2 linked regions of the Notamacropus eugenii genome follow. The protein of the gene in region 2 purifies or fractionates together with the protein of the main gene of each other region. This does not show direct contact. Links are inferred from orthologs where the notes say so. Each region holds a gene or a part of one and is shown on either strand. Other genes may lie near its edges.

Region 1 (7,698 bases), on a different chromosome or scaffold from region 2:
GACAATGAGCTTCTATTAGAAAGATTATCAGCAGGAACAGGACAAATCACTCACTCTGGCTCAGTTTCTTCCTAGTACCTACTGGATCTAACACCACAAACTGTTGAAAGAATCAGTTGAGATTAAAGTTGTTGGAAGAATCCCTGTGGTGCAACAACCCTTTGTATAACACTTTCAACACAGTAGGGCAATCTTTTATTCCTCCCTAAGTGATTTCCTCATGCACTCCCCACAAATTCTTTTTCAAACTACATTACAGAGGAAATACACAAATGAATAAGAGATGTCATAGTCTCTGCTCTTAAGAATGAATATGATCTGGGTCAGAAGACAAACACATTCAAAAACTGAATGCATGGGGGACATCTACAAAAAATAAAAATAAAAAAAAATCACTTAAGGAAGCAAGTATACATACATCGTGCTGGAAGAAATATATAATCAGATTTGGTATAAGGTCAGTGCCTTCTTTAACTACTGAAATGTAGCTTTTGCACTGTCTGCACTCCTTCCCCCATTATGCCCTCCATCATTACCCCCCTATCTTTCAGAATTTTTCATTTTCTTCAAGAATCAGCTCAAACTCTGTCTCCTACAAGAAGACCCCAAATGTCAGTGCTTTGCCCCTAAAACTATGTTCTTTTGTGAGTGTGTATGGTGCTTTCCACCTACTTTTTCTCCCATTGGAAGATCCTAGAGGGCAGGACCTATTTCACTCTTGACTTTATATCCTGGCACAGAATAGGTACTTAATAAATGTTTGCCCATTGATTCTTTGATTCTGACATTTTCCTTTTTATAGTACCAGCATAACGGAAGATGAACTGGAATTGAACACTGCCTCCAGAGTCTTTGCCCTAGTCACTTTCCAGACTGGCTATTTCTTGTCAGGGAGAGCCTGAACCTGTTACTGCATCTATAAAATGGGAAGATTTTCACTGCCTACTTCACATGAAATCATGCGTATAAAGATACATATACCATGCACAAGAACATGGCAAAGTACACACTGTAGCTATTATTATCATTCAGCAAGTGAGCCAAGGTTCCAGCTAAAAGCATTAATGACAAATACATTTATATAAAGCTTTTAGGTTTGTAGTCTTCTTATCACCATGAGGTCTGAAGCCATAGGTAATTCAATAATTGGAAGGGATGAGTCCCTCAGATTTTCCCATAGTACACTAGGTCTCTCCTTTGTCTAACATGCTCCACTTTGTATTTGGGTACAAATCACAACATCTTGACAACTGAAATCACCCATATAGGAAAAGCATCTCCACGATAACATACTTAATAAGGAGTCATCCAGCTGCTGCTTGGACTCTTTAAAGACAGGCAACTAACCGCCAGCAGTAATGCTAATAGCATTTAGGGAACACTTTAAGGTTTGTAAAAGGCCTTATATTTTTTCTTATTTGAGTCTCACAAATGAGATATGTGAATCCTGTGAGGTACATGCAACTGTTTTTTCACAATTTACACCTGAGGAAACTGAAGCTGAAAAAGTTAGGTAATTTGCCCAGAGTCACATGGTAAGTACCTGAGGCAAGATTTAAATTCAGGTCTTGCTGAGTCAAGGTCCATATAGTTAAAAGTTTGTGGGGCAGCTGAGTGGTATAGAATGGATAGAAAGCCAGCCCTGGAGTCAGGATGATATGAGCTCAAATCTAGCCTCAGACACTTACTAGCCATGTGACCCTGGGCAAGTTTACCCTGTTTGCCTCAGTTTCCTCATCTGTAAAATGAGCTGGAGAAGGAAATGGCAAACCACTCCAATGTCTCTGCCAAGAAAACCCCAAATGGGGTCATGAAGAATTGGACACAACTACACAACAAAAATAAAAACTGTAGTTTGTATGTTACTTATGTGCAGGGATTAATGCCTTTTCCCATGTTCTTATCTCTAGGCTATAAAAAGTATCCTTTTTGTTACAAAAATTTTCTTTTGCCGAGTAGATACTTTAAAAACTATGCTGAAATGGGGTAGGTGATGTTTTGTTTTTTGGACTGGATATGTGATCTCATTAATATGAAGAACTCTAAGGCAAAGAAACTCTAGTTACTGGATAAAGGTGAACCAATATCTTCTCTGCAAATGAATCTTAGGAATGTGGCCTAGACCAGACATGTCAGACAACCAAGGACCTCACATGCTTCCCAACACACCCGAGTATGGCCTGAAGTAAAATAAATATAAGTAGGAAATACTTCATATATAACAATGTAATATAATTATATAATATACAGCATATAGTAATTATTAAGAAATACTTAAGAAAAATTTTCAAATGCAATAAAACATAATTACATTTTAAAACTCAATCAATATACTGCCTGCAGGAATCCTTACATATGCATTCATGGCCTAGTTTTGAGTTTGACACCACTGGCCTAGAACACTAACAGATTAAGTGAACCACCCAGGGTCACACAGCTTATGTGAAACCCAGGTTTTCCTGACACCACGATCTTGCCTTTCTTTTGTACATTTCTGGGGAGCACCTAACTTGTTATTTCATTGGTACAGAGGATGTGCTGAAGCTAGCTCAGACCAACTAGTGAGAGCTGGCTGTTAAATTTTCAGTGTGAACATTTAAACCTCTAAAACACTACCAATCAGTCCTGAGTTTATTGTTTGCTTAAGAAAGTGAGAGAGAAAATAATGCAGGTTCAGCTTAAAAGTGTGTCTGAAACAGCTGGTCCTGGAGTCAGGTAAGACCTGCGTTCACATCCATCCTTAGACACTTCCTAGCTGTGTGACCTCAGGCCTGCCATTTAACCTCTGCTGCCTCACTTTGCTCAACTATGATATGGTGATAAGAGCATCCACTTTGTAGTTGGGAGCATATAGCACAGTACCTGGCACAGTCCTCACCCCCAATGCATTTTTTTTTCCTCCTGAGAGTTGGTTGTTAATGTTGATCAGCAACTATGTTGCAACTTGCCCAAGGCAGACTGATTCTCTATCCCATATGCCAAGCTGATGCTGATGGAGGTAGTGGTAGTGGTAGAGACGGTAGTAGCAGCAGCAGCAGTAATAGAAGTACTAGTACCACTAGTAGTAGTAGCAGCAGCAGCTGCAGTAAAAGTAGAAGTAGTAGCAGCAGTACAAGTAGCAATAGAAGTAGCAGTAACAGTAGCAGCAGTAGTAGTAACAGTAGCAGCAGTAGTAACAGTAGCAGCAGTAGTAGTAACAGTAGCAGTAGTAGTAACAGTAGCAGTAGTAGTAGCAGCAGCTGCAGTAAAAGTAGCAATATTAATAGTAGAAGTAGTAGCAGCAGTAGTAGCACCAGTAGCAGTAGAAGTAGCTGTAGAAGTAGCAGTAACAGTAGCAGCAGCAGTAGTAACAGTAGCAGTAGTAGTAGCAGCAGCTGCAGTAAAAGTAGCAATATTAACAGCAGAAGTAGTAGCAGCAGTAGCAGCAAGGGGCTTTTGCAGCACTTAGCACAGTGTCTGGCATACAGTAGGAGCTTAATAAATGTTTACCAAAATGAACTGAATTGCCATCAAGGTCACAAAGGTGGTAAGTGGCGGGGGCAGGGATCATAGCAGGGATTGTGGATGCGGGTGTCTTGGGCATCATGCCCTCCCCTCCCCCACTGCTAGTGTGCTCCCTACAGAACTGGCCTGAAGTCTGGAGGACCTGAGTTCAAATCCGACCCCAGGTACTCCCTGGCTGTGTGACCCTGGGCAAGTCACTTCCCTTTTTTGCCTCAGTTTCCTCATCTGTCAAAGGAGCTGGAGAAGGAGATGGCAAACTGGCCAGAAAACCCCAGACTGGGTCACAAGCACCATGACAATGATCATTATTGGGGGGGGGGGGGGTCCTCGGGGGAGTGGCCCTGCCTCGGTTTCCCTATCCGTGGGGTGGGGATGATGATGACAAGCACCGACACCCCCTCCCCAAGACTGGGGCGGGTCGCTAGGCCGAGCAGAAAGGGCCCCACAAAGCGCCTTGCATTTTACAAGTGAGGAAACTGAGGCCCCCAACTTGCCCAAGGTCCCCGGACTGGGAAGTGACGGCGGCAGGATTTGAACCCGGGTACCCTCGGTCTCCTCTCCTCCCGCCCCCCGTGCCCCGCGAGCTCACCTGACCAACCCCACCGCCCGCCCGGGTAGTCACCGGCTCGCGCCGCCTCAGCTGCTTCTGCTGCGGCTCCGGGAGATTTAAACTTCGGCTCCGCGAGCGGTTGGAGGCCACGGACCAATCAGCGGCGGCGCCCTCTGACCCGGAAGCGCTAGCGCGCGAGTCGCCGCGCCGGGGCCAGAGCGCGCATGCGCCGGAGGCGGAGGCGGCACTGTGGAGTTTACCGTGGGTCAGGAAGCCAGATCGACCAAATTTTCGTCTCCTCCTCTTCCTTTCCTTCTCTGCCTCCTCCTCCTCCTCACTCGAGTCTCACCGCCGTCGGGGAAGTAAGTGCCCTTGTCTTCCTCATTCCTCAGGTGAGGAAACTGAGGCCAGGAAGAGGGCGGGGGCAAGAGCTGGTACCGCCCTCCCAGGCCGGGGCTAGACCCCCCTCATGATAATAATAATGGTTGTTATCGTAGCCAGATAATTGTTATTTATTCTATGTGTTCATGTGCACGTAACCCTTTATAGACACGAATTCATATTTGTAGAGGTGTTTATATGTTACTTATTTCTATACACGTTTACATGTTCAGAGCTTCTCCATCTGCTGTAATGAATGGTTCCCCCCATGGAGGGTGTGCTGGCGGCTGATGCTGCACGTGTGTTTCTTTGGTGTTGATTATTAGGCCAAAATGAGCACAGGCAGCAGAGAACTGATCCATGCTCTGTTGCATCTCGACCGCACTGAGTGCACAATCGTCTGCAAACGGAAAATCATGCACCAACACTCCCTCCACTTTGGTCTTGGCTTGTAACCTTTTCAAATTGAAGAATTTGCCATCAGTAGCGTAGTTGACCTTGATGCTGGGTTCATCCTCACTGAAAGCATTTGACAACATGACTGAAAACGTCATGCTAAAAAAGGATGTTAGCAAGCACACAGCCCTGTTTCACTCCATTGGTGACTGGGAAGGCACTAGAGCATTGTCTACTGTCCAGAACCCGGGCAAACAGTGTCATCATGAAATTGATGTACAATATTGATGAACTTCTCTGGACAACCAAATGTTGACATAATTTTCCATAAGCCCTCACCACTAACTGTATCAAAGGCCTTGATCAGATCTACAGACGTCCTGCTCCTGGCATTTCTCCTGGAGTTCAGGTAGCATGTAGTTATGCCAGTTGTCTGTGTATTGAGTATATACAAATACAGTGCCTTAAGGTTTGTGAAGCACTTTATAAATATGATCTCATTTGGCCCTCACAACAACCTTGGGAGGCAGGTGCCATGATGATCCCCATTTAACAGATGAGGAAATTGAGGCAACTCAATTTGAGTCAACTTGACTTATCCCTGAGTCACACTGCTAGTAAGTTATTAAGGTTGGATTTGAACTCAGATATCATATCCACCCGGCTGCCTGTAGGATCCTAGAACTAGAGCTGGAAGAGGCCTCAGAGGCTGTTTAGTGGAACCCCCTTATTTTGCAGGTGGGGAAAATGAGGCTTAGAGTTTTAAGCTCATCGACCTAGTGCTGGGAGGGGCTTCAGAGTCCATTTGGTACAGCCTCATTTTAGAGAGGAGCAAACTGAGGCTTAACAAAGGCGCTCTAGCTTTGGAGCTAGAAGAGCCTCAGAATACATCTCTTCCAACTGCCTCATTCTACAGAAGAGAAAACATCTAAGACTCTAGGCTTCTACTTCCTCACCTGTAAAATGAAGGGTTTGGATTGGTTGCCTTCTGAAGTCCCTTCCAACTCTAACTCTAGGTCTGAGGACCACAGATTTAGACCCAGAAGGGGTCTCAGAGATCATCTCATCCATTCACCTGTTTTGTTTTATTTGATTCATTGACAAGCATTTGTTTTCTCTTTATCCTGCCCTCAGTTTAAAAGAAAAAGAAAACTCTTGTAACACATATCCACCACAAATCCCCACATTGTCTCATTCTGCATCTTGAATCCATCTTCTTTCCATCAGGAGGTGAGTCCTCTGAAATCAGGACTAGTTGTTACTTTGATCAGAATTCTTACATCTTTTGTAGTTGTCTTTATGATGTTGCTAATGTATAAATTCTGATAGTGGTCACTTCATTCTGCATCAGTTCATAAAAGTCTTCACAATTTTTTCATCATCTCTTAGTACAAAATAGTATTCCATAATCTGTTCGCTTATTCCCCAATTGGTGGGTACCTCTTACTTTCTAGTTCTTTGGCTCTGCAAATGAGCTATAGATATTTTTATATGTATGGATCCTTTTCCTCTTCCTTTGATCTGGACTGTTGGCCTAGTACAGGTATGACCAAATCAGTATGCAAAGGGTATGTTTACTGACTTTTGGTCATGGTTTCAAATTGATTTCCAGAATGTCTGGACTAAGTCACTGTCACGCCAGTAGTTCATTAATATACCTAATTTCCTTCCGGCCCCTCCATTGCTGTAGTTTTCCTTTTTTGTTGTTGTATTTGCCAATCTGGCGGAACCTCAGGGTTGCTTTGTCTTTCTCTAATTACCAGTGATTTGCTGCATTTTTCCTTATGGCTGTTGATAGCTTCAGTGTCTTCCTTTTAGAAGTGCCTGCTCACATGTTTTGACCATTTCTCAGATGAAGCATGACTCATGTTCTTATGAATCTGAGGCAGTCCCTTTTATAAAAGTCTTTGAATTGAGCCCTTTATCAAAGAACTTGGCTGTAGTAATTTTCCCCCAGTTAACTCTTTCCCTTCTAATTTTAGCTTCACTGGTTTTATTTATGCAAAATAAATTTTAATTTTTTTTAATCAAAATGGTCTCTTCATCCATGAACTCTTCCCTATTCACAGATCTGAAAGAAAATTTCTAACTTAGTCCTCTAAATTGTTTATGACATCACCTTTTTATAGCTTAGTCATGCATTCATTTAGAAGTGATCCTTTTTGTGTGCTTTGGTTTACCTTTATTTCTCACAGAACATGACCAAGATGAGAGGTCTGAGTTTCCCCAAACAAAATTAGGTTTTAGAGACTAAGTTTGAAGCAACTGAAATGTTGTCATATACTATGGATCATGCTCCAAGTATCCCGTCATCCAAGTGTCCTGAGATTGAGACTTTTCCACAGAGAACTAGCCTGGAGTAACCGTAATGTTACTCAGAGTGTGTGTCTCCAACCACAAAGATCTTGTCCTTTGAGTGTTACATAGTTACTTACGCTGACCTTTGTTTTCCTCCTCCTTCCTGGAGGTGAGTGGACCAAAGGCATGCACATTGCACACGTTTTCCAAACGCACCACGGATGGGCTGACGTTTTATTTTCCTCCCTCACATACCCCATCCATACTAAGGATCATCCTGATTTTACAGATGAAGAAACTAAGGCCCATTTGCCCAAAGTCACAGGGAGAAGTGGCAGGGAATGGAAAAAGATCTGTGATTTCATTGGTCTGGAAAGTGGTACAACTGCCAGTGCACATCGGCACTGTCTGTATGCCTTGTAGTCTTACGGACTTGAATTGCCTAGAGCACTGAGAGGTCTGGGGATTTGCCTAGAGTTGTACAGCCAGCGTGTGCGTGTGTGTGTACATGTGTGTGTATGTACATGTTGGCATGCAATGCTCCTGTGTCTCTGGCAGTGGCCAGACTA
Region 2 (7,511 bases):
TCACAGTGGAGAGTATGTGGGAAGGTGAAATGTTAAGAAAACCAGAAAGGTCATAATTTAGAGAGGAATCTCTTAAATGGACAATGTGGCTAACCTTGAACTTTGTCTTTTTCTACATTCTCTCTATTGTCACGAATGATTAAAGGACAGGGAAGAGAGATGGAATATTTTTCTATTCCTTTTGGAATTTTCTTCTATAGAATTTATTACAGATTTCCCATTCTGAAGGAAGAATCTTCTTTGTATAAATATGTCAAAGATCACAGAACAAATGTGTGTGAGCAGATTCTCACTTCACTGTGTGTGATCCAAAGATTATGGCAATAAGACTTTAGGAAAGACTTCATTAATATCTATGTTCTCCTTGGTTTCTACTGAAATAGTTAATATCCTTCATTTCAAAATCTTATTGACCTATTTTGCAGAGTTGAAACTATTATGATTCTTATTAGTCAACTTTTGATATTGGTTTAGATTTTGGCTAAATAAAGGTTAAAGTGGTTAAGGTTTAATTTTGTTATTGATGTTACTAGTTACATCCCTCAAAGCAGAGTCAAATACATATAGATGCAAATCATAAATTCTTATCCTTTATTCTTAGCTTAGGCTTTTAAAGTTTCTAAAACGGAAAAATAACCAATATCACCTACCTTCAGCCAGTGCTAGAGCTTCCATAACTTTAACAGGAAGAGAAGATCCAAAAGTTTTCACATCATAGTTGATAGTCTCACTGACAGACTGGTGCTGTACCATTCTTGTGGGTGTTCCGCTAAATGAAATAATATAACTTGTCATTTGTTTTATAATTTCATTTCCTCCACTTACTTTGACATAATTTTAGCTCAAAAAAAAAAATAAAAGCAGGGGGACAATGAAAAATGAGGTATTATAGGAAAAGCACCTTCCTGGTAGTTAAGAAGCCCAGATTCTAATTTCAGCTCTGCTAATAACTAGCTATCTGGACTTGGGCAAGTAATTTACCTCTCAAAGCCTCAGTAAAATGTGACTGGAATAGATGATCCCTTCTAGCTCTAAAATTATGAGAAAAGAAACATAGGAAAACTAATGAATCACTCAAAACTACATGAGAAAACTAATGAATCAATTAGCATCTAATACAAGAGAATTTTGTTGTCATACTATTTTTTACAGTAAATATGGTAAAGTGGAAAGAAATATTTTCTTCTCATTTTTTATTCAAAATGCAGTAAATTTTCCATTTCGACATCTACAGAGCATTTATTTCAGATACAACACTCTACAATATAAGAGATAAAAGGATTAAAAAAAATCATTGTCCCCAGGAACCTTACGTTTTACAGTAAATAGTATTATTCCAAGGATCCTGCGATGAAGTTCAAATATCTTTCCCAGGTACACAGTGCTCTCACTGAAACATGAAAAGTCTATAATACGGTTTTAAGTAGCTAGGTGGGACAGTGTTTGGTAAAGTGCTAGACTTGGACTTAGGAAAACATCAATTCAGTAGTGCCTCAGATACTTACTAGCTGTAAAATAAGGCTAACAATAGCACCTACCTCCTCACAGGAGTGTAATTAGAATCAAATGAGATAGGTAAAGCTCTTTGTGCTGTTGTTATTATGGGGCCTTACGTTATCCGAAGGGTTGTTATTTCAACATGGGCAGCTGAAGAACAAATAAAATGAAACTTAAAGAAGACATGGTTCTTGTTCACTACCAATTTTCACTAAAGCAACAAGTAACACAACAAAAACATTTTGCAGAGCATTTTGTCCAAACTGGATGGATTAGAGATGAAGTCACTTCTTCACAATGCTTGTTTCTTTTCCATAGAAACTATAAAAGTAATTTTTCCCAAAAGAGCTACAGAAGCACCAATCTGCAGCCTTCCTACTTCTAGAAGAAGGAAAACCACTGTAGCAAATTCTGCTCAAAAAAGAAATTTCTAAGATAAAGATAGATTCCACTCCCACCCCTCAAGCTTTGGTTATGAAAGCTAAACAGGAAGAAGCCAGCACCACCAAGTATCTAACTCTAACCACTCCTTTACTTTTGTTCTTCAAATCTTATTTGATATTTCATGCTTTCCAAATTACATGTAAAAACAATTTTAACATTCTTTTTTCCTTTCAAATTCTGAGTTTCAAATTCTCCCCTACCCCCACTGAGAAGGCAAGCAATTTGACAGAGGCTTTACACCACTGGTCATGCAAAACATACGGCATGCTGTGAAAGAAAACCAACCAAAACAAAAACCCTAAGAAAAAGTGTCTTGGATCTGCATCCTTGACATGGTCAGCGGGGGTTCTCATCCCCTCCCAACTCTAAGAACCGGAGACGCCGGCCTCTTCAGCCTCTTCCCACCCTCCGAGCTCTCGGTGCCTGCAGCCTGGCTCCCTCACCACTCAGCCTCCCCCGTCTCGGTGTCTCGGGGGCACTTAGTTACGGGCATGCTGTCTCTGCACACACGGACCCCCCCCCCCCACTCCCGCAGTGTATGCTTCCCGAGGTCTGATCAGTGCTAGCTGACTGACTGAGCCTCAGTAAAAGGGGGCCCCTTGCACAGCGGGCTTCGCTGGGGTCTGGGGCGGAAAGCACTTCGTAAACCTTAGAGTTCAACCAGCATGGATCGTTAGGATCAGGGCTGCTCTGATGGTGGGCGGGAGAAAGCTTACAGGGGGAGGGGCACTTTCCTGTCCCCTTGCCATGGCACGCTTCAGTTCAGGGCCCCGAGCACTCGCTGGGCAGGGCCAGGCCGAGGGCCACTGGGACACAGGCCCCACCCCAGGTGGATGGTCAGCCCGTTCGCGAGCCCAAACGCGCGGGGAGGCTGCCCCTGCGGCCCCTCGGGATGTCCGGGCCCGACCCACGCAACAGCTGACGTAAAGGAGGGGGGGGAGGGGAGAAAAGAATCCGCTTACCGCGCACTCAGGGAGCTGCGGCGGCTAACCGGCGAGAACAGCCCGGGCGAGCCCACGGCGGACCCCAGGGTCAGGCCTTTCCTACCCCCCGCGCGGGGCGTGGAGACCGGCGTGGTTCCCCCCAATGGGCCCCTGCGGACCCCAGCTCCTGGGGTCCGCGGGGAGGCGGAGGCAGTAGGGAACATGACGAGACGGGAGGAACCGTAGGGATCCCAAACACGGGAGCTGAAAGGAACGCGGGCCGGTTGAAAACGAGGCGCGTTGCGATGACGTCACGACGCCCTCACCCGCCGGCGCTTTCCAGCTGCATGATTGGGTCTGGCGCGTGCGTTTGACGGGGGTGAGATCGGAAGTGGAACCGGAAATCCCGCCTCCTTCGTCCCGGAACTTGGGTCTGTCACGCTTGTTTTCTAGGCTGAAGAACTCGGTGGGTTTTAGACAAAAACCCTGAAGCTACCGCGTGGGGTTGGGATAGGGAACCTGCGGCCTGTGGCTTTCTAGGTCCTCAAGTGCGCCCCTTTGGCCTAATCCAGACTAGTGTGGTCACTATGAAGGACTCCAGGCTTTAGATTTGTGAGAAGCACGAGAGCAAGCGGCGCGTGGAGTTCAAGAAAGGCCCCGCGAGCCGCCAGTGTACGGAAAAGGCATCAAATCCTCATTTTTGAACTTGGAACCAGAAGATGCGAGTTCGAATCCTGCCTCTGATACTTAAGCAGTGTAGCCGTGGACAAGTCGCTTAGCCTCTGCCTCAGTTTCCTCCTCTATAAAGTGGGGATAAGACCAGCATCTTCCTCACGGCGTTGTGAGGGTAAAGAGACAACAGGAGAAGCCCTGAACGAGTAAAGCGCTCTGCAAACCTTCAAGCTACGTGTAAGCGCGGGCTGTTACTATCCCAGTCTTTCCGAGGCGGATGGAGAGATGCTGTGGAGACAGGACCAGGATCCTAGTGTAGACCGCTGCCTGTTATCAGTGACCTCTAGCAATGCCGAGACTCTTCCTGGGTCTCTTCGGTGTGACCTCTTTTGTCCCCTGGCCCTATACCACCCTGGTGCAGGTCCCCTCATCCCCGCACCTCTGCTGTCACGTCATTTCCTGACCCTGAAATCCTGTGGATTCTCTCCTTAGTTTATCTTGTTTGAACATAGTCTCCATTCTGCAGGAAACGCCTTGAAGGCAGGGAATATCGTTTGCCTTTCTGTGTATCCCTGCGCTTAACAAAGTGCCTGGCACACAGTAAGTGTTTAATAAATGCTCTCTAATTGGTTAATGAGGTCAAATAAAGAATTTTTTTTAGAGTTAAGAAGATAATGCATAGTGATTGAAAATGGGAGAAGATAATGGTGGAATAAAATCAAGGGCACAAGTAGAGGGTTCTAGCCTTGGCTAGGAAAGGGACATTGCTTCCTGTAAATATTGTAGTAAAAAAGGAAAAAATGGGAGATGAAGTTGAGGGCATTTGGGGTGCAGAATTGAGAAGAAAGGACTCACAATGGGATGGTTTTAGTCTTTTCAGCAATATAATATGTCAGGTTCTCTGGTTAGGGCAGAAGCAGGTGGTAGAGGGTAGTTTCAGGGGGAAAAGAAGTTTGAAATGGTTGCTCTGGGCATTTCAGTGGTCCATTAATGAACAAAAGTGTGTGGGATGGCTCAGGTCCCTACTTAAATCAATTACTCAGAGGCCTCTCCAAGTGATGACAGAAAGTTTATTTACTAGATTCTCGAGAATCAGGACAATCCTACACCAGTTCATCTGGAGTAGGAAAGACAATAACAAAGAAAAGGCAGTGATTTATATAGACCCTAACGCAAGTCCTTCCTCCCCCACTGACCATTATCCTCATTAGCTGAGAATATGATCTTACATTCTAGACACGAACTCTAACCAATCCCTTTTGAAATGAAGACATTGAGGAATTATGTAAGTTTTATCCAATCATTAAGACCCTAATACACTACACAGTTTTACATCCTTATATGGAACTATTCTATTCTAAAAATATTGTAACCTTGAGCCTCTAGGTCTTACTTCACCCCTGGGAGAAGAATTACAATCTGAGAAGTCTTCACTATCCCACTCAATCCCTCCTCTTATTTATTAACCTGAAGACTTCTCACAGATATTTCAACCAAAGTTCTGTAACATGATCTCACACTGTCTATTAATCTCCTCATCCCAATCAGGGTCATTCCTGTCTTTTGTCTCCACAGATGCCCATCCTTCCTTCTTTAGTGTCATCAACCAAATGGCTCCTTTGGTCTTCTCTTCTACTCTAGCAAGTTTTAGGAGAGAATTTCTAACTATTTTAGTAATAAGTGAAATCAAACAAGGTAAACAAATAGGAAGTAATATGATACCACTAATTGCTATGAGGCCAAACCACAGTAATCTCTTCCCACCAGCTCCCTTCAAACCAGGACCACCAAGACGTATTGAAAAGGGAGTTTCAAATTTGTACCAGAACGCGGGCAACTTTCCTGATATTCTTGGTGATCTTTCTCTGTCCTTCCATTATCATCAATTTTTAAGCAACATATAGATAAATTGAATTTCCCACAAACTCCCCCTTCTTCTGCAAGTAAATAATCTAAGATCAGTCTATGTTGCAGTACTGCTTCCCTAGTTTGTGTGGCTTGATCAGCCAATAAGTCCAAAGCCTTTGCTATTTGATTGGTTATAATTTCAACTACTGCTTGGAGTCTGATTAGTCTATTTAATAGATATATAGGGGTTCTATAACCCCAACTCCCTTCTTGAGCCCAAGTTGCAGGCCCATACTCTCTAATTATCCTCTCAGGAGGCCAAGTGTCACCCCACCCATTTGCATTTCCAGTCTGAGTGAGGGAGGTGTCAATGTTCCTCTTCCTTTTGGCTAGATCATCATATAGAGGGACTCCTAGATGCTGTTTCCCTGATTCAGGCAAGAAAAAGAATTTAGGTCTCACCAATCCAATGTAACAAACACCTCTCCAGTTTAGCAGAAGGTGAGTATAAGCTGTCTGTCCACATATCCAATAATGTCCTCTCAAAGCAGGATTTTCCTCTAGAAACAGTCTTACTCTATAATCCACAGCCAGAAAGTACTTCACATCATCCGGGCCTAATGGTCCCCCTTTCAGGATCTCTGACTTGCACTTCCATAGTTGTTGTTTCCTCTTCCATATACAATGTTGATAATTCTCCCCAGTTCTATTGATTACACTCCAGAAAGTATCAAACATCATCCTATGTGTTCCATTCTCCTGCTTCCATACCCATTCTCTATATTCTGTGTTATTCTTAGTACTATTCATATATATGCAACTCCACAAATAGTCATAGTCGTGACCCCCTTCACATTGTTTTCTGGGATCAGAGGGGTTGTAAAACTTATACCCGCAACTCCTGTGATATTCCCCTTTTGTTCTCTCCTCCTATGAAGAGGATGGGAAAAATAAATGGGTACAGGGAATCACCCTACCATCTGAGCAGGTAATACTGTTCTGATCCCATCTGTTTGCATACTGGGCACAATCAATACGAGCCAGGGTTTCTGGTCTTTGTGTGAATGTCCACTTACAATTACTTTCTCCCAACCATGTCTCCTGCAATTCGGGTCCTGTTTAATTTAAACAATGTTCACCCGGAACTGATTCGGACAAAAACCATTGGTGTTTCTCTTGGCTTATCCAGAATCTTGTTCTGTCATGTACTACAGATCTATTACTTAAAATCCAGACTGAACTCAGCAGTACTGCTACCCATGGCCATTGACTTAACCGCTGAGGTCCCCCACAAATCCAATAATCGGATACCTCAAAGGTTTCCACAATGGTCTGAATTAGGTCCAGGAAACTATTTTCAAGAGGGGGGGTTGATAACTGGGGCCTGATATCCCAGCAGTGGGAGCAGGATCATGCCCAAAAGGGACATTCCCAAGGTATTACATTTTGGTTGCATTGTTCCCAAGGTTTGTCAAGTCCACACAATCTTAATAGAAGAGTCCTGTTTAGATGTTGTGGTAAATGGCTTAGGACAATTGCTGAACAGAGAATCCTGTTAAGAACAAACAATAATAATCCTAGTATAGTTCCCCAAATAACAAAACTTATAATGAATTTATATATATGCCTCATTGGCTATCCCTTTCCAAATTCTGTGTGTTCTCACACATGCTTCAAACGGAGCTTTTAATACTGACAAAGTGTGTCTCCCAAGCATGAGGCTTGGGAGTTTAATAACTAATAGTAATAATTATAAATGACAGTAAACAACTTTAAAATTTTTAAATGCAATAACCTTCCATAATTTTGTTTACTGGCTTCCCAATCATGCTAAACATTTTCTGAATTGGGATGGGGGAATAGACAGTTCAAGGTTCAATCTTACCCATATTCCTCCCCTCCTCTTATTTATTCCTGTTTCCACACCTAAATCCAATCAATAAATACCTCTTCACATTCTTTCCCTTATGAATCCTTCCCTTCATCTGTCTCCCTTTTATATGAATATGGGAAGGAAGCAAAGTTGACTGACACATTAGCAAATTACAGGGGGCAGTCCCCTTGTCATAAGTACAGATACAGAGATTTAAATTAATGAACTGTCCATTTAGAGGTTCCATCTCATAC

The links.
Region 1: the proteins of NUP133 (region 2) and NUP37 purify together in Homo sapiens (affinity purification with mass spectrometry; 4 studies listed by BioGRID and IntAct, with this or other methods). This does not show direct contact. The link is inferred for Notamacropus eugenii from reciprocal best matches to the Homo sapiens genes NUP133 and NUP37.

What each region holds. Positions count from the first base shown.
Region 1 is NC_092874.1:285,065,700-285,073,397, reverse strand, and holds the start of NUP37 (nucleoporin Nup37), read left to right. Parts: upstream 1-4,257; 5' UTR 4,258-4,278; coding exon 4,279-4,446; intron 4,447-7,698. UniProt on the Homo sapiens protein: Component of the Nup107-160 subcomplex of the nuclear pore complex (NPC). The Nup107-160 subcomplex is required for the assembly of a functional NPC.
Region 2 is NC_092873.1:388,636,771-388,644,281, reverse strand, and holds the start of NUP133 (nuclear pore complex protein Nup133), read right to left. Parts: upstream 3,105-7,511; 5' UTR 3,089-3,104; coding exon 2,904-3,088; intron 2,811-2,903; exon of another isoform or gene 2,658-2,810; intron 1,804-2,657; exon of another isoform or gene 982-1,803; intron 770-981; coding exon 651-769; intron 1-650. UniProt on the Homo sapiens protein: Involved in poly(A)+ RNA transport. Involved in nephrogenesis.